3 linked regions of the Callithrix jacchus genome follow. The protein of the gene in region 3 purifies or fractionates together with the protein of the main gene of each other region. This does not show direct contact. Links are inferred from orthologs where the notes say so. Each region holds a gene or a part of one and is shown on either strand. Other genes may lie near its edges.

Region 1 (2,703 bases), on a different chromosome or scaffold from region 3:
ACAGGCACATGCCACTATGTCCAGCAAATTTTTCTATTTTTTTTAGTAGAGATAGGGTTTCACCATGTTGGCCAGGCTGGTTTGGAACTCCTGACCTTAGGTGATTCACCTGCTTCAGCCTCCCAAAGTGCTGGGATTACGAGTGTGAGCCACTGCACCTGGCCCTGTGCCCATAATTTATAGTCTCCCTTAGCCAGAGCTCTGGGGTTGAGGTGAGGGATGGACATGAACTGGAAGAACAGGGCAGGTTAGTGTTAGCATGAAGTTGACAGGCAAGAAAGGGAGTTTAGGCATTGGTTGGGAAAGACCATGGGAGATATATGCAGTGGCCCAGGTGAAGCTGTCTGCCCTAGCTGGAGTGGGCAAATGGTGCCTACCCTTTTCTCTCGTGCTGCATCTCTCCCCTGCAGGCTGGTACAGAAGGCAGAGCTGGTACGGCTTTCCCAGACACTGAGCCTGGTGCCCCGGCTACATTGGCTGCTGGTAGAGGACGCTGAGGGTCCCACCCCACTGGTCTCAGGGCTGCTGGCTGCCTCTGGCCTTCTCTTCACACACCTGGTGGTCCTTACGCCCAAAGCCCAGCGGCTTCGGGAGGGCGAGCCTGGCTGGGTTCGTCCCCGTGGTGTAGAGCAGCGGAACAAGGCCCTGGACTGGCTCCGGGGCAGAGGGGGAGCTGTGGGTGGGGAGAAGGACCCACCACCACCAGGGACCCAGGGAGTTGTGTATTTTGCTGATGATGACAACACCTACAGCCGGGAGCTGTTTGAGGAGGTGAGCATGAGGATGGGGATGGGCAAGAGGCCAGGCGTGGCCAGCTGCATTCATTACCTTGGTTAGCAGTGTTGCCGTTGGCTGCTAGGTGAAAGGCTGGAAGCAGTGGGCAGAGTGAGCCAGGTGGCTCTTTCTGCTGCTCCCTTCCCCAGACCACTCCTCTGTTTCTTCTCTCCCAATCTCCAATAGATGCGCTGGACCCGTGGTGTCTCAGTGTGGCCTGTGGGGCTGGTGGGCGGCCTGCGATTTGAGGGCCCTCAGGTCCAGGATGGCCGGGTTGTGGGCTTCCATACAGCATGGGAGCCCAACAGGCCCTTCCCTGTGGATATGGCTGGATTTGCTGTGGCCCTGCCCTTGCTGTTGGCTAAACCCAATGCCCAGTTTGATTCCACCGCTCCCCGGGGCCACCTGGAGAGCAGTCTTCTGAGCCACCTTGTGGATCCCAAGGACCTGGAGCCACGGGCTGCCAACTGCACTCGGGTAAGGGAATGGAGGTGGGCACAGAAACCTGGCTCTGGGACGGACAGGTTTTGGGGAGGTGCAGTGAGACCCTGGGAATGGGTGGTTTAACCAGGAGGGACTCTCCAGATCTCTGATCAGCCTTGCTGACTCTACTAAAGGGGAAGCTGGGAACCAGGGAGGGAAAGTGGTCTGCTGCTACTCCGTCCCTGAGTCCGGGAACCCATGTGGCACAGAGAGGATGAAGGAATAGGTCCGTTTTAGAGGCACTAAGTCTTCCTCCACACTGCCCTTTATACTTTGAATATGTGGAGAGGGTTAGAGAATCCATTCCAGCCTAAGGGCCCCAGAGGCCTGCCTGCCGCTGGGTCTGGCTCTCATCGCTTCCCTCCTGGCACAGGTACTGGTGTGGCATACACGGACAGAGAAGCCCAAGATGAAGCAGGAGGAGCAGCTGCAGCGGCAGGGCCGGGGCTCAGACCCAGCAGTTGAGGTGTGATGGCCCCACCCCAACTCCCACCTCTTTTCAGGCACAGACCTTGTGGGACTGGGCCCCGGGCCTGCCCAGGTTGTGGCTTTCCAAGTCCTGACCCTTCAGAGCCAGAAGTGGCCCCTCTGCCCCTCCAGGCCCACGGCATGGCCCTGCTGCTTTGCCCCTCCCCCGGCCTGCCGTGTGGCACTGCCCACAGGCTGGGGACAAGCAGCCCTTGTATTGAGCCAGGTCAGCCCTGTCTAGGGTGGGGTAGAAGGACAGACGGACTCAAGAGGGAGGGCAACTGAGTAACTGGGTAACTTATTGGGGCTGGGCATGCACTAGGGGGCTGGAGGAGCTGGGCTGGACTCTCCCCACCTGAGCATGCTGATCCCTTCCTACCTCCAGAATAAAGAATCTCAACCTGGAGGGCCTCTTGTTTTCCTTTCCTTCTTACATTGGGTTGTCGCTTTCTGATCCTGCTCTGCAGAGGTCAAGCCAGGGTCCAAACTTTGGAGTCCTGGCTGCTCCATCAGACAGAAATCAGTTCTCCCAGGCCCCCATCCCCCTGAAAGAAAAAGCAGTTGCTTCCATCCAAAAACTTTATTGAGTTTGTACCAGAATCCATCTCCAGGCCTTCCCATGTCACTTTCCCATCACTCTGTTCTTGGTGGTGGTTCCCTGGTGGTTCTGGCTACAAGGGCTAGGCCTTAGGATATCTGGTTTTCTTTCTTACCCTAGTCCAGCTCACTGACTATCCTTAACCCTTCTAATCCCGGGATTTCCCTCCCCAACCTGGAGCCTTGGTAAAGAGTTGTGAGGTTTCCAAACTTGTCCATCCCTCCCTTTTCCCCACCCCAAGCTCCAGGCCCCTAGGCCTCAGAAAGATCCTCCTTGAGAGGTGCCTCTCCTGGTGGGGCCTCCTCAGGTGCTGGCCTGTGGGCAATCCATCCCTGTAGCCATGCTGTTTTCAGCATCTCTTTCAGCCCACTAGGAAATAG
Region 2 (4,440 bases), on a different chromosome or scaffold from region 3:
AAGGAGTGTTAAAATTTCATCTTAAAGTGTCAGACACTACTCCCAGTTAAAATCAGATATACTGTAGAATCCTTAAGATTTCCATTTTGCACATATCTCATGCTCTATAAATCGAACCTGGGAAAAGAAATGGTCAATTTCACTTTCTTAATCATTAGCATCAGCATAAACAACTGGACCTCTCTGTATCCTCTACACCAAATAAATTTTGAGGGGTGGGGAGGTAGGCATTGTTTTGTCTGTTTTGTAGACTGTACTATTCTCAATGTCTGGCTACATCATAAGTGCTTAGTAAATATTTGTAGAATGAATGAATGTACCCACTTCCTAAGAAAACACACCAGCCTGAGGGTAAATGTTACCATTTCTAAAACATAAAATTCCAGTGCCTTCTTTCAGATCCTGAAGGTCCCAGGCTTCTTGCTGCCTTGGGCCTTTGTGGGGTACCATTTCCTATTTCTAGAAAGCTATTCTCATGATCTCCATGTGACTGGCTCCTTCTCCCCAGCAAGGCCTCATCACATGCTAGAGAAACCTTTGCGGCCACTCTGATCTGAAGTGAGAACTCACCACTGTCCACTCTTTGTCAATTTAACTTATTGCTTCACAATACTCAATAGCCTAATTAGTAGACTGTTTATTATTGATCCCTACACCTCTGGAATACAAATAGGAGCTACTTCTAGTATATAAACAGGAGAGAGATGACCTTGTTACCCTGTGTAATCTACAGTGCTTGGTGCATAGTAAATGCGCAAGCAATGTGAGGGTGCTCTGTCTATATAAGTATTCTCTGCACAAACTACATTAACTGCATTCTTTGGCCTTAGCTCTTCCATCCACTGAACTTTTGCACTACTTGGTTTTAGTTCAGAATCCTAAGGATTTTTTTTGTTCACACTTTCACACATGAAGCTTGCAAATTAAATGTAATTACATGAAACATAACTCAGACTTACTGTGGATATTTTCTATAATTTACTTTTCTTTTTTCCTTTTTTTTTTTTTTTTTTTTTTTGAGACAGAGTCTTACTCGTGGCCCAGGCTGGAGTACAATGGTGTGATCTTGGCTCACTGAAACCTCTGCCTCCCAGCTTAAAGCAATTCTCCTGCCTGCCTCAGCCTCCCAAGTAACAGAAATTACAGGAGCGGGCCACCATGTCTGGCTAATTTTTGTAAATTTAGTAGAGACGGGGTTTCACCATGTTGGCTTCGAAGTCCTGACCTAGTGATCTGCCCTCCTCAGCCTCCCAAAGTGCTGGGATTACAGGCATGAGCCGCTGAGCCCAGACTTTATAACTTACTTTTCAACCATCAGCACTTAAAAGTTTGGGGTCAAAATCAAAATGGGGATGACTTTGTTATCAAGAGCAATATAAGGGTGGGGCACGGTGGCTCACATCTGTAATCACAGTACTTTGGGAGGTAGAGGCCGGCAGATCATGAAGTCAAGAGATTGAGACCATCCTGGCCAACACGGGGCAACCCCGTCTCTACTAAAAATACAAAAATTAGCCCGGCATGGTGGCACTCGCCTGTAGTCCCAGCTACTCGGGAGGCTGAGGCAGGAGAATTGCTTGAACCCGGGAGGCAGAGGTTGCAGTGAGCCGAGATCCTGCCACTGCACTCCAGCCCGGCACCTGGTGACTGAGAGAGACTCTGTCTCAAAAAAAAAAAAAAAAAAGAGCAACATAAGTAACACAGCTGAGGAAAAATGATGATGTTAATGAGTTAATATGGTATCATATTAACCTCTGCAGAAACTGTGAAGTTAAGAGCATAATTCTTAACTAGTCACAGGTCTGAGGCCAACTTCTCCAAGTGGCCTACAAGGTCTGTCCACATCACAAGACACAATTTAACACCGTTATCAGCTTCTGCCCAGGTGTGCAGGTGTGCACCTGCAGAAGAAATGTCCACCTCCAACATTATTAAAAGCACAGCATTTCATAATTACTTCCTTTTCTTTCCAGATTCTGAGCAAGTTTTATATATAATTATAGTCAGAATACAATGATCTGATGTAAACAAAAATTAACCTAGATATAGATAAGAGCCAAGGAAATGTAAGAAATTTGTGGGGAAAAAACGCACAGCATTTGATCAGAAATGCAACTTTTTTTCTTTGTCTCAATTTAAAGAAAGGAACCTAGAAAACAAGGTGGAAGAAATATTTGAAACATTTTATGTATGTTTAAAGGTTTATATGTAAATTAATTAAAGGTGTATGCTAACAATGTCAAAGGAAGTATGTTAAAGTCATCAAGCCAAATAAAACACCACATACCATGAGCCACTCAATAAACATACACTGTTTGTTTGCTACAGCCATACATTTTTCGGTTCCTCTATATTCGGGAAATTTAAAGCGTGTTTTTCAATCCGTGAGCTGAAAAGAGGAAGAGGTCACTTGGTCGTGTCTGGATTCCTGAGCTGGGCCCCAGCCGGCCCTGGCGCCCGCCCCGGGGTGAGCTCAGTCGCCGGACGCCTCGGGAGTGCTGCCCAAGGATCGCGGCTGGTGCCGGGCTGGCCGGGCCCACCTGACCACAGCCGCGGGCGCCAGGAATGCGGAACTCGCCGCGTCCCTGCACCCGGCCGGGGGGCGTGTGGAGCCGCGGGCGCTCGGGGAGCCCGGGCAGCCCGGCCCTTTCTCGCCTCCCGAGTGCCAGCTGCAGAGCGCAGGGCGGCGGCCACCAGACCACACGCACAAACAAGGAGGCGCAGGAACCGCAGGCGCACCGCGCCTCCCTGTCGCCTGGCCAGGGAGCTCCCCTCCCCAGGGTCCTCTTACCTGGAACTCAGCAGCTCCCTCCTACACCACTAGCCACCGTCACCCACCTACCCCGGAGACTTCAGTAGCAATTATCAGCTGATGGGCGGTGGCGTGGGGACGCCCAATGCGCATGCTCACAGCACAGCACCAGGAAGAAGGCGGGGCTCATCCCTTTCCTATTGGCCCAGGGGGCTGAGTGACAGCAGCCCTCACCGCCCCCTCCAGTTTCAAGCTAAGGAATGGGGGTATCAGCAAAATTGCAGGGGAGCTGTCCTACGAAGTCTGACGTAGAAATGGTGAACGCCTCTTAGCTTGCGTGCAAAAAAGCAGAGGACGGAATGGAGTATAGTTGTCTTCTTTATCTGGTGAAGATAGCCTCCCGGCACGCGGGTCTTCACCCCGCCCCATTAGCTCTTGCCTATCTTGTTAGCTGACCTTTAACTCTGCAGTAGATCGCGTTCACAACTCCATCGAGAAATGCAAAAGCGAATACACAGTCTTAGCAGGAACAATGAAGGAATAAGTGAAGAGTCTTCTCTGGGTGCTCATTTAGTAAACAAGTTTTCCTAGCACATACAAGTCATTCTAAGCATTCCTGAAAAGCAGGGCGTAGTTTTCACAGGGTTTAAAACAAGCAGAGATGGTTCCAGTGATAAATATCCAAATATATTGTAATTATTAGATGAAAAGCATCAATTGCTACAAGTGAAAGAAAGCCCTCACCAAATTAATTAGAAGATAGATTGGCTTAACCTTTGCCTATTTTCTAAAAGAATCACCAGGATACGTGACATCAAAAGTCCAGATGCACTTAGGTGGGAAAAAAAGCAAAACCCAGGATAAAATTCTTGCTGAAACTCACCACACTAATTGTGTAATGTTATCTATTTAAGAGAGATTGACAGAGAAAGAATAACCGTGAAAGGGAGTAATCCACAAGACAGGAAATAAACCAGAAAGGGAGTAATCCGCAAGACAGGAAATAAACCAGGAAATAGAGAATGAAGGAAGAAAAGAAGGCATGGTCTATGATTGTCACCTGTCACAGAAAGTTCAAGAAATAAAGAACTGAAAGTGGTGCAGTTTTTGAGAATTAGGAAGTGGCTGGTGAAATTAGGAAGAGACATTTCAATCATTGAAGGAACTCATGAAAGGATCCTACATCCGTGTGAGATTTAGTGCACTTTCCAAATATCCGTTCATATTACCTTTAATAGAACTCTGGGCTCGGGGAGGGGAAGGGACAATACGCTAAAGAAGAACCTGAGGTTAAGTGGCCTCTTCAAGTTGCCCTGATAGTTACTGACTCTGCTGGTACCAAAACTTAGCTGTCTGAGCCCTCGTCCTGGGCTCATTCCAATTTCTTGTTTTAAAATATGCTATGAGTGAATTCCATTCAGGTCTTTTGAAAACTTAAGAGTAAGATTTCATCTCTTGGTATTCAAATAAATAAATAAAGAATTACAGTCTAGACAACCTTGCAATATTTAGAAGTATTAAGATAAATGAATTACAAAGGATTCCTGACATACAGTATTTTATCTAATCTGGCTGCTGCCAAGTTAAATTCAGCCAGGTGCCTTGAATCCATAGGGCTTAAAAAGTCTCCCAATTTGATGTGATAATGTCACATCTCCCAAAATAAATCCTTTCCATGTGCAGAAGTT
Region 3 (4,320 bases):
GTGTTCATTAAAATGTTTATGATATGCATGTAACTATTATCTGTATGATTCCTGCTTTAACTTACTACTTCGGTTAACCAACTAAAGGCCCTAAAAGTCTGCTTCCAGTGACTGAGTAAATAGAATGTTATCGATCTGCATTTAATTCATATCCCTACGGTCTATGCATTTAATTCATATCCCTATCACTATACCTGATATAACCTGGTTATATCTTTAAACTATTAATTTTAAAATGCATTCATCAGTACCGATTAGTATGGGTATACTTGTATATAAAGACTGTCATCTCTGTTGCAAAACTGAGGATAATTTGAAAATAATTATTAAATTTGCTGCTTCCCTGAGGGAGGAAGGTGGGTGGAGGGTGGAGAAAAATAATTGCTGCTTCCTGGCCAATCTTCAAGGGGTCAACAATACATTTATGAATATTCTAAAAGTTGTATACTTAAGCAAAACAAATAAACATAAATGCTTAATTTAAACTTGAGATCAAGGTTGTGCCTTACTTACCTTTGTATCTCCAGCTCTTACTCAGTAGAAGTCTGGGTCTAATCCACTCCTTTTACAGTGTTTAGGGAGCCTGGCCCAAACTCAGAGTGAGTTAGAAGGGCTGGGACAGGAATTCAGATTTCCTGATTCCTAGTCCAATATTACCAATCTGAAGATAAACGAATTTAGGAAGACAGTGGCTTTTTTTTTGTTGTTCTTGTTGTTGCACTCACTCAGTCCTGCAGTTCAAAGCCTGGGGAAGTCTCACCATCATCTTCCTCCTCATACTGCCAACAAGAATCAGCAGCTGTGTTTCCACAGTGATAACTGGGGTATGCATGTTTAATGTTCAATCACCAATAAGGCTATTGATTTTAGAGTTTCTGAGTACCCACAAAAGCCACTTTACTTAAACATCCAGGATAAAAACAGTTCCTCCCAAGAATACAAGATAAGAGTTCAAACGTTCCCTTGGGCATTTTTTAAATAAAAACACCATCTAGATGTTTCAGTACTGCAGTCACAGCCAGTATTGGGGAGGGGGGTTAGAAAGTGCCATGGTACTTAATCCAGTTATTCCCTCAACACCTCCAAGAGGTAGCCAAGTTCACACACTAAACAGTGATTGCAACAGCTCTAGTGCTCGTGCTTATTAGAGGCGTTTCAGTTCCAATTTTAGCACTTGGATCCCAGTTGCATTATTGCAACTGTGAACGTTAACTGCTTTAACATCTTAATCTACAAAATAAACATGAGAAGCAGACTAACAGCTCTATCCTCAGTTAAAGAGAGGAATAATTTCCTTATGAAAATTATAGTTACATATAATATTTCTAGCTTTCTTATTCCCCTGTTCCCCCTCCCCTGGAGCTTTAGACAATAGTACAATCATCTTCGATTAACAAAAGAGATTAAACAACCCAGATAGCTCACAGCTAGTACAGCATTTTTATCTTTCTGGGAGCTACCTATGAAAGGCAAGAACTAACGCTAGGCTGGGTCACACGGGAAAAAGAAATCCTAAGATTGTAAATCAAGGAACAAGGGAACAAGGATGAATTTCATTATTCAGCCTAATAAAAATTAATAAGAACCTATTATATAGGCAAGAAGGTTTACAATTCAGTAGTATGCAAACTATAATAAAAAATAGAACAGGGCAAGTGCCAGGAGGTGCAAAGTTCTCTGGGAGGGAGCTACCAATCACTTCGCTTCAATTTCATACTGACAGATTGAAACATTCAGGTAAGGGACACCTGTAGTACCAACCTGACTGTGAGGGGAAGCCCAAGAACTCCACTGAGTCTGTGGAAATGGATGCTACACTGGGACACTATCTCCTTAGCCACACCTTGGCTAAGCCAGGACTATCCCAGGATTGTTTTGAGATACGAGGTTAACCAAAGAAATATTTATGTGAACTACAGACAGGGTGGAAACTGGAGGTAGAGGAGTCCGCCACAATTGATGTTGATTTAGGACTATCGCAGAAAGACCCAGCGAAATCTACGCCAAGGTTGGTCTGGGGATATGTCTGCCTCCAAAGTATCCTCCTTTCCATCACCCACCCCCAGAATATCCTAGATCTTCTGCACCTCACCTGAGTAGAATACAGGTGGACTCTAGAAGGGGAACTTTCCTCGAGGTGCATGTTACAGTCTTTCAGTAGCCATTCTGTAAGGGCACCCAGTGCTTAAGGGCTAGCAAGGTTCTTGTTAACTCACGAGCTCACTATATCCTGAATCAAAGAACGAGAAATCCAATCTCAGTCTGCCCTTTACTCCTTGTGAACTCCGACTAGTCACCCGGGGGCTTAGTTCCTTCGTTTCCCTATCTGTAAATTCTGAGATTACAAGGAGACCGGGATTGACTTCGATGGCCTCTGGGCTCTAAAAGCTTCTAGACCAGCCGGCACATGGAAGCACTCGACAAATGGCCAGTTGCATAGACGGGGAAACTGAGGCACCGAGCACCCCGGACCAAGGTCACTCTAGCTATGCCCCTACAGAGGCCGTGCCGAAGCCCAGGTCTTCAGCCCTCCAGACCCGAGCTCTTTCTCCTTCCGCCGAACTGAGGAGAGCGGCGAGAAGGGTCCTTGTCCCGCTGGGGAAAGGAGGGTACCCATACACAGGGGTGCGACAGAGGGACCGAGAGAAGCCTTACCTTTCCAAGTCGAGTCCAGCCACTAGCACTTGTCTCTGCGAATCTTAACTCGTCACCCCCTCGCGACTCCTCGACTGGCCCCTCCACTTCTGCCCGGCTCGACGTGTCCACGACCGCCGCCGAGGCCGAGGATTCCCTCCCCTTCCCCGCCCCCTTGCCTTACCAACCAATCCCTCCACGGGGCTATGAAGCTCCGCCCCCCTGCGGGCTGAAGAGGCCTGACGTCACGCGGCGCGCGTGCTCGCGCGAGCCTCTCATTTGCCTTTTTGCCCCACCTTCTCCGGAGCCTAGTCGGCTTTCGGCCCAGAGACCGTGCGGAGTTCATCCTGCCGGAAAGCAGCACGCTACCGCGGCATTTTACAACGTCGGCGGTGACAGGCCCTGGGATGCTGGGAACACGCAGCTTCCTCCCTGCTCTTCGGTGAAATCCTACGCAATGTTCGGTTCTGGGGACGAGGACGACACCGATTTCCTCTCGCCCAGCGGCGGGTGAGTGACTGAGAAGTGTGCGCTGGAGGGCGTGGCTGAGAGATACCAGCAGATTGTTGGAGGGGGGTCGATCTCTTCTCAGGCCTTTTCCCAACTTCCGGGTGCAGACCTTTGCCACATTCCGGTGCTCTACACCTCTGAGAATCTGGGCAGAGCTTGCAACTGTGCTGACTCTGCAGATCTGAGGTTCGGGACCCGGCATCTCTCTTGGCGCGAAGATAACCCTGGGGTTTGCCTTTGCTTTCTGGGTCACAATTTCTCTGGTGAGATAGGAATGATTGCTGATGAGACTTCCTGCCTCAGAGTTTTTGTAGTAGTTAGCTGGGACTGACATGAGACTTTCTCTTCTCAGTGGAAAAGGCTATGACACTTTAGAACCAGGCCCTGGTGGGTCAGCTCTAGCATTCTTCAAGGCCCAGCTCGGATGTCACGTTTTCGGTGCTTTTACTTCTGCAGCCTGAGGCAGAATAAATTGCTTTCCCTTCCTTATTCCTACAGCTCGGTGTGTTCGCCTCTATTCTTGCACCCCGAACCTCTTAGATTAAGATTCCTCACAGGACAGGGACTGCTTATGTTGTTCATCTCTGTCTAGCACTCAGCATGGTAACTGGCACATAGTGAGTGCTCAAGAAGTGCCTGTTGAATGAATGATAGCTGCGAAATTGCACTTTGTAAATTTTAAAGCTTAAAACCAACATAACAGACTTCGTCATTCTCCAGTTTTCCAAGCATTGTATTAATACATTCCAGCCCAGGATCGAAATCTTTAAAGAAAGGCAGGGTTTTGTCTCTTTCAGTAGTCAGTTTAGCCTTTTCTGTTGTGTTGTTCCAGTGGACAGCTTGACTTCCTTCAAACTCTTGAGAGACACCAAGCTGTGATCATTGCAAGCTTTGAACATCTGCTTAACAAATTTTGTGCACGCTGAAGAATGTACTGGAAAAACGACAAATACACCACATATGCTCCTTATTCTGCTAAATGCTAAGAGGTTACAAAAATGGTTAAGCTGCTGTGCCTGCCGTTAAGTTGCTTCCCCATTTGTTGGAGAGGTCAATACATGAATGATCATAAAACGACACTGGCCTTTTTTTGTCTTTAAATAGGATCTTTTGATTAACAGTGACTAGCTTTGTATTAACTATACTGAAGTCTTTTCACTCTTGCTGCTGTACCAC

What was found.
Region 1: the proteins of SLC31A1 (region 3) and B3GAT3 purify together in Homo sapiens (co-immunoprecipitation; 3 studies listed by BioGRID and IntAct, with this or other methods). This does not show direct contact. The link is inferred for Callithrix jacchus from reciprocal best matches to the Homo sapiens genes SLC31A1 and B3GAT3.
Region 2: the proteins of SLC31A1 (region 3) and STX7 purify together in Homo sapiens (affinity purification with mass spectrometry; 3 studies listed by BioGRID and IntAct, counting the BioPlex papers as one, with this or other methods). This does not show direct contact. The link is inferred for Callithrix jacchus from reciprocal best matches to the Homo sapiens genes SLC31A1 and STX7.

Annotation. Positions count from the first base shown.
Region 1 is NC_133511.1:119,887,128-119,889,830, reverse strand, and holds the end of B3GAT3 (galactosylgalactosylxylosylprotein 3-beta-glucuronosyltransferase 3), read left to right. Parts: intron 1-410; coding exon 411-771; intron 772-960; coding exon 961-1,251; intron 1,252-1,546; coding exon of another isoform or gene 1,547-1,547; intron 1,548-1,630; coding exon 1,631-1,729; 3' UTR 1,730-2,131; downstream 2,132-2,703. Other genes in the region: ROM1 (rod outer segment membrane protein 1), read right to left, coding at 2,575-2,703. UniProt on the Homo sapiens protein: Glycosaminoglycans biosynthesis. Involved in forming the linkage tetrasaccharide present in heparan sulfate and chondroitin sulfate.
Region 2 is NC_133505.1:139,163,647-139,168,086, forward strand, and holds the start of STX7 (syntaxin-7), read right to left. Parts: upstream 2,902-4,440; 5' UTR 2,792-2,901; intron 1-2,791. UniProt on the Homo sapiens protein: May be involved in protein trafficking from the plasma membrane to the early endosome (EE) as well as in homotypic fusion of endocytic organelles. Mediates the endocytic trafficking from early endosomes to late endosomes and lysosomes.
Region 3 is NC_133502.1:161,534,411-161,538,730, reverse strand, and holds the start of SLC31A1 (high affinity copper uptake protein 1), read right to left. Parts: upstream 2,801-4,320; 5' UTR 2,656-2,800; intron 780-2,655; exon of another isoform or gene 514-779; intron 1-513. Other genes in the region: FKBP15 (FK506-binding protein 15), read left to right, coding at 3,092-3,144.